Linked DNA regions of Rattus norvegicus. The main gene of each other region encodes a partner of the protein of the gene in region 2 in a complex. Links are inferred from orthologs where the notes say so. Each region holds a gene or a part of one and is shown on either strand. Other genes may lie near its edges.

Region 1 (3,304 bases), on a different chromosome or scaffold from region 2:
TGCAGTCCCAGGATGATCCTCTTGCCTCTTCGCTGGGATTACAGGGTGAGCCACCATGCTTGGCTTGCTTTTTATTTACTTATTTTTTAACATTTATTTTTACTTATGTGTATGTGAATGAGTATCACGTATGTGCAGGTGCCCATGGGAGACATAAGAGGACTTCGGATCCCCTAGAGTTAGAGGCAGTGGTGAGGTGCCTGACATGGGAACTAAAAACAACTCTAGTTGCCTAAAGGAGCAAGGGGTAGCCAACTGCAAAGGTGTGTCCTATGGTGTGAATGTCTGCAGGTGTGAATGTCTTGCAGGTGCATAGTGCATACATACCCATGCATGGACGCAAACTCAGGTCATTAGGCTCCGTGGCAGGCACCTTTACCCTTTGAGCCAGCTCACCTGCCTGGCTCCCATTCGGTTGGTTTGTTTGATTTGTTTGTTTTGATTGTCCCTACCTCCAGGAACTGCAGAGCTGAGGGCTAACCCACTCCTTATCATGGTTGCAGCTCTGGGAGGACAAACCCCCGAGTCATTTTTACCTCCTGAAGCCTGGGCTTCTGGAGTGTCACCATGGAGTGGGCCTCCCCTGTATGGCTTTGCTCCCTGGGAAAGAAGAGGCTGAGGGGGAAGGGATGGCTCCCTACAGTCCTGAGTTGGGGACAGGGACAGGAAGGAGGACATCAAATGGCCAGGGCTCCCTGCGTGGGTGGGGCTGACTCAGAGGTGAGAAGCCATAGAGCAACAAGGATCAAGTCTCTAGGGATGTCCTAAATAAAACTCCCAGATCAGTCCTAGGTCAAGGGTCAACTCCCTCCTTCCCTTCTGGAGGGGTCCAAGACACTCCACTGCACTGGAGAGGTCTACACTTCAGTCTGGGCTCTCTGCAAGCAACCTGTCGTAGCTCACTACTATTGACATCCAGATCCATGGAAGCATTGCACTTAGGTGGGCAAAAAGGGCAAGGGCAAGGGCCTGCTGCGGCTGAGGTCAAGGGTGGGGACAAGAGCAGCTCCTAGGGCTTGGAGTTAGGTGGGTAAGTTCCACATGTGCCATAGAAGGAGCCCATAGCCCCAGGCCCAGTATACTTGTTTGTTTTTAATGAACGATTTTGAAATAATTTTAGATTGATAGAAAAGTTGCATAGCTAATTTAGAAAATTCAGTCCCCCTAGGGCTTATACCACACACTGTCCTCGCTGCTGTGCCATCGTTACCTGAGCTCCCAGACTTTGTACTGAATCAATTTCTTTCTTAGATGTTCTTTTTTCTTTTTGTGATCCTGAGGTCTTAGAAAGGTTCCTGGGTATAAAACCACTGCAAGACCCAGGGAAGAAAAGTTTCCACACCTCCAGTCGGCCACACCGTAGTACTCAGAGTTGAAAGCTGAGACCTCGAAATCCATGCTAAAAAGACTTTCTCAAGAGGCCTGAGCAAAATGTCCAGATTGTAGGGCTAGAGGGATGGTCATCGGTTGACAGCATTTGCTGCTTCTGTAGAGGTCCCAAGTTCTGCCCCCTGCAGCTCATAACTTCATAACTCCAGCTCTAGGGATCTGATGCCCTTTCTTTTCTCCTCTCCATGGATATTCGAGGACACACACAAATTAACAAGAAAAAAAAATTAGAAACCAGGCATAGTAGCACACGCCTTTAATCTGCATAAGTTTGAAGCCTGGTCTATTTGGTAAGAATCTTGTAGTCAGGAGCTGGAGAGATGGCTCAGTGGTTAAGAGCACTGACTGCTTTTCCAGAGGACCTGAATTCAATTCCCAGCAACCCAGATGGTGGCTCACAACCATCTATAATGTGATCCAATGCCCTCTTCTGGTGTGTCTGAAGACAGTTGCAGTGTACTCATATGTAATAAGTCTTTTTTTTTTAAAAAAAAAAAAGATTCTTGTACTCCTTCAGATTGCCAGATAAATCGTGGGGCAGGAGACACAGACAATTTCATTGCCCTAGTTTAAATACAGGAGTGGGAAAATTCCCCAAATCAGCCCAGATAAATCCCCAGTGGGAAATAAGATAGTCCTCTATGTGGCGCAGGTATAATGTCTTTATATCTGTCTGGTATAAGGTGTCTGGGTCAGGTGTAGTCTTTCTTGTGACTAAGAGTTTTGTTATGGGTTTTCCTTTGGAATGATTTCCCTTTCAGGCCTTGAAGGTGAAGTTGAAGTTGAAAGAAAAAGAAAGGATCCAGTTCCTGGAACAGCAAACCTTAGGTAAGGACGAAGCCAGTGACTTCACAATAATCCTGGAGGAAATGGAGCAGCTCTTAGAAATGTAATGCAAGGCAAGCGTCCAGACAGCTTCTTCCTGCATAAACTCTCATCGGAGGCCACTTAGGATATCTTCAAGGACTCACCGTCCCTTAGGTAAAGACCTTCTGTAGCAGTTGATCCGATAAGGGCAGTTGATGCTGGGGGTCCTCCTTTAAGCAGATTGCCCCACCTTCAGATGGCTCAGCTCTCCTGCAAGAGAGGAACCTGGGAGTTTGACTCCACTTCCTGCACAACAGAGAGAGCAACAACCTTAGAACTAGGATAGTAAACCAGCCATGGAGACTCTCGAGACTCTTACTTGGAAACACGGGAGGAAAGCCCACACCGAGACAGCACGTGCGCTGTGCGGGAGCTGTCACTTCAAGCTATGCTGTCCCCTTTGTCTGGTTGAGCTAAGTTTATGAACTTGAAATCCTTGAAGTCTTTTGGCGTAATAAATTGGGTGGAGGTATACAGAGTAATGCCTAACTGAAACTATACCTAGAGCTTTTGGAATAAATATCTCCATGAATGTTAATATTCTGACTAACACTAAGGAATGAAAGTGGCCTTTTTACCCCAGAGTGGTGGCTCATGTCTATAAAAATCATAGGACTTGGGAGGCTGAGGCAGGAGGATTGCCTTGAGTTAGAAGATAGCCTAGGTTGGGGATTTAGCTCAGTGGTAGAGCACTTGCCTAGCAAGTGCAAGGCCCTGGGTTCGGTCCCCAGCTCCGAAAAAAAAGAAAAGAAAAGAAAAAAAGAAGATAGCCTAGGCCGCAAAAATCCTGCCTCAAAAAAGCAAGGAAAATGTTGGGGTCTAGGAAATTGCCACACAAACCACCATATGTACCCCAATCTCAGTTAAGCAAGATTTGTTTATTGATCGCACACCATAATACTGGAAGTCCAGGTCCACAAGAAGGAAAAATGTAATAGCAGCACTAGTCTGCTCCCAGAGTAGACTTTTTATAGGAAAAGCCAGGTTTAAAGTTTAAAGGGAAAGGAGGGGAGCAGTTGGCTTACCCGGTAAAGTATCATCAGCCAGC
Region 2 (3,653 bases):
GTGTGGCACACGCCTTTCTTTAAAACCTGCACTCAGGAAGCAGAGGCAGGCGGATCTCTAGAATTTGAGGACAGCCAGGGCTACACAGAGCAACTCTGCGTGTGTGTGTGTGTGTGTGTGTGTGTGTGTGTGTGTGTGTGTGTGTGTTAATAATATAGCATATAGCAAGCACTTGAAACAGTGCCGGGATCATCATAAATGTACAGTACAGTACACGTCAGCTATTATTCTAGTAATCCCGTTCCGTTACAGTAGGCTCCGAGGTTAAACACAAGGCAGGCGCAGAAATTCTGAAGAGGCGTTACCTGAAGGCTGAAGTTGGGCATTTAGGAACTCCCTCAGGCCTTTATGAAACTGGCACCTACTCCTGGGCAGCCCAACCTCGAGTGAAGTGCGGCTCATTCGGTAACCGGGGAAACGGAGCCACTGAAACCGGACTCCTCGACTCTCCAACTTCCCAGAGTCCATGACTCTGGAGGACATACCCACCAGCCGGATGCTCAAGTGGAGGCGTTAGGCTAAGCGCCCAGCCGCCCGTGGGGGCGTGACGCACGCAGGTCCCACCCACTATACGTACCGCGGCCCCGCAGCCAATCCGGAAACGCGTATTGGGTTCAAATAGAGGCGGCGGGTGAATGTGGCGTTTTCGACTTGGTCAGATAAGTGGTCTAATTAAAGATGTGGAGGGTGAAAACACTGAATCTCGGCTTGTCGCCTTCGCCCCAATCGGTGAGGAGAGAATTTTCGCGGACAGGGCGCTACCTGGGCGGGGTGCGGGCGGTGCCGAGGCCGGTGAAGTCTGGCTCCCAACGAACTGGGGTAGCGAGAGGCAGTGTTGACCCCGCGGCCTAGCGGGTCGTGGGAAAACACTCTCAGAGGCTGAGCCCAGGTTTCCTCACACTCGCTTTCTTTCTCAGGGGAAACCAGCTATGAGAACTCCTCTCCGAGAGCTTAAACTACAGCCCGAGGCCCTCGCTGATTCAGGGAAAGGTCCTATGTTCTCCTCGCTGACCCCATACCTGCGCAGGCTGGATCTGAAGGTGAGATTTTAGCTTCACAACTGGGCTGTTTGCCCAGGCTCAGATGCTCAGAGGAACAGAGGGCCAAGGCTGGAACATAATTAATAACGATAATGAAGTCTTCTACTTCCGTGACATCCATTTACAGCTATTCAGGCCAACAGAGAGGTGCCCTGGGGTGGTTAAAACGAATCCACTGAGAACCCATATCTCTATTTAGCTTGGGTTCGGTTTTTGCTGTTTTCTTTGCCCCCTATCTAGTTTTTGACCTTTACCAAATTCCTGAGAAATACTTACACTGCCACATTTATGGAGAGATCTGTCTCCAAGAGTGAGACCGTGTCCATATATCCTATGGGGTCGTTAGAATTTTCCTGTAATCCAATACTTTAAACCTTGCCGAGTTGCTTACATTAATCTGTACTTTTTAAGTTAGAAGGTTTTCGGTTGTTGTGGTTTTGGTTTTTGGAGACAGGATTTCTTTGTGGCTGTCCTGGAATTCACTCTGTCGACCTGGCTGGCCTAAAACTCAGAGATCTGCTTGCCTCTGCCTCTCCAGTGCTGAGATCGAAGGTGCAAGCCACCACTGTCACCACCCAGCTTCTTTTCTACTTTTAGACTTAAGTTTTTTAAAAATGTTTTTTATTACTTGTCAAAGGACTTAGGAGAAATAGTACAAAGAGAAGGACTTGAGAGAAAGTACAAATTGCTTTTGTTAAATTTGTCAAGAAAGGAGTTTGACCCCCTGGGTTCTTTTTTTTTTTTTTTTTTTTTTTGGTTCTTTTTTTCGGAGCTGGGGACCGAACCCAGGGCCTTGCGCTTCCTAGGTAAGCGCTCTACCACTGAGCTAAATCCCCAGCCCCAACCCCCTGGGTTCTTTAAAGACATTTTGTAGAACTACTTGGGAAATTGTCCTGAAGAAATTGCTACTATTTCCTCTTCTTGTAAGGAGAACCATGAAACCTACCATTCTTTCAAAATATGAAAGCTTGCTTTTTATTTCTTTGACCATGATTTTGTTATTTTATTTTATTTTATTGAACGTAGATGTTTGTGCTTGCTAGACAGATACTATACAACTAAACTATACCCCCATCCTATTTCATTAACTTTATCTATTCTGTCTTTAGTAAATCAATATTTTTGTTTGTTTGGTTGGTTTTGTTTTTTTGAGACAGGGTTACTTGGTTACTCTGAAACTCACTCTGTAGGCCAGGCTGGCCTCGAACTCAGAGCTGCCTCTGCCTCTGCCTCTCTGCCTCTCTGCCTCTCTGCCTCTCTGCCTCTCTGCCTCTCTGCCTCTCTCTCTGCCTCTCTGCCTCTCTGCCCCTCTGCCCCTCTGCCCCTCTGCCCCTCTGCCCCTCTGCCCCTCTGCCCCTGCCTCTGCCGAGTGCTGGGATTAAAGTATGTGCCACTCCCAGCTGGCATCCCTGAGCAATCCCTGAGTTACCCTTGTGTAACTCTAGATTCTGACAGTACTTGAAAACATCCCCCATTCTCTATTGGGTCTCTCCTACCATGTCTCTTGAGACGTTGGTTGAAATTAGAAGAGGGGGGTTGGGGATTTGGCTCAGTGGTAGAGCGCCTAGCAACCGCAAGGCCCAGGGTTCGGTCCCCAGCTCCGAAAAAAAGAAAAAAAAAAATTAGAAGAGGGCATGGCCAGGTCATTTTCAAGCTAAGTCTACCATTGGCATAATAGATTTGCTTAGTCTGTTTATACTGTGGGCTGCACCTCCTTCCTATATGGATGGGATGCGTAGGAGCCAAAGTGCTTTCCTATCTTCCTTTTCCTACTGGTAGTTAACTTCTTCCTTCAGAAGAGATAATAAAGGGGTTGGGAATTTAGCTTAGTGGTAGAGCGCTTGCCTAGGAAGCGCAAGGCCCTGGGTTCGGTCCCCAGCTCCGAAAAAAAAAGAACCAAAAAAAAAAAAAAAAAAGAAGAGATAATAAGACTGTTTTTTCTGAGTTTGGATTTTGCAATGTACCCACTGTTATATGTTGAGGGCTGAATTGGACTGCCTTTGTCAACTATTTTGTTTCTTTTGGCAGGAAAGGCGCAACAGCTCATCTCCAGTGAATTTTGTTAATGCAGAGAACTCATCTCCAGTGGATTTTGTCAATACTGAGAACACATCTCCAGTGGATTTTGACAATACTGAGAACAACTTCCTTTCAGAACAGTTCAGCCATCCTTCAGAGTACATAGAAGCTTGTCAGCGTGAATCAGATCTAACTCCTGAAAGCAGCTCTCCTTTCAACACACTGGAGAAGGCAGTGGAAGCAATGGATGATTTTGTGGCAGAACCAATAGATGACGGTATAGTTAAGACCATGGTTCTTTTACCCTTTTCCTTAGGGCAGCAGCAAGACCTGATGCTCCAGGCTCACTTAGATACCACAGCAGAGAGAAATAAAAGCTCTCTAAAAGAATCTTTGGGGCTAGAAGACCTGGTGGAAAAGGAGGCGGCACCTTGTGTGGAAGACAGCTTACCAGAAACTGTTGCTATCAGGCCTGAGCAACCCATCTCTCAGGACCCTCCATTAAGAGACAGTAACACTGAAGCTGCACCTGCGGGCTCAGTTCCTTCTGAAAATGTCTTGGATTTCACTGTGGCTTGTCTCTCTCCCTCAACT

What was found. Proteins that work in one complex are often made in the same cells at the same time.
Region 1: Spag5 (region 2) and Knstrn share a complex: the UniProt entries of both Homo sapiens proteins name them as parts of the astrin (SPAG5)-kinastrin (SKAP) complex. The link is inferred for Rattus norvegicus from reciprocal best matches to the Homo sapiens genes SPAG5 and KNSTRN.

Annotation. Positions count from the first base shown.
Region 1 is NC_086021.1:126,271,619-126,274,922, forward strand, and holds the end of Knstrn (small kinetochore-associated protein), read left to right. Parts: coding exon of another isoform or gene 1-45; intron 46-2,150; coding exon 2,151-2,282; 3' UTR 2,283-2,728; downstream 2,729-3,304. UniProt on the Homo sapiens protein: Essential component of the mitotic spindle required for faithful chromosome segregation and progression into anaphase.
Region 2 is NC_086028.1:63,696,216-63,699,868, forward strand, and holds part of Spag5 (sperm-associated antigen 5), read left to right. Parts: 5' UTR 1-678; coding exon 679-729; intron 730-917; coding exon 918-1,040; intron 1,041-3,068; coding exon 3,069-3,653. UniProt on the Homo sapiens protein: Essential component of the mitotic spindle required for normal chromosome segregation and progression into anaphase. Required for chromosome alignment, normal timing of sister chromatid segregation, and maintenance of spindle pole architecture.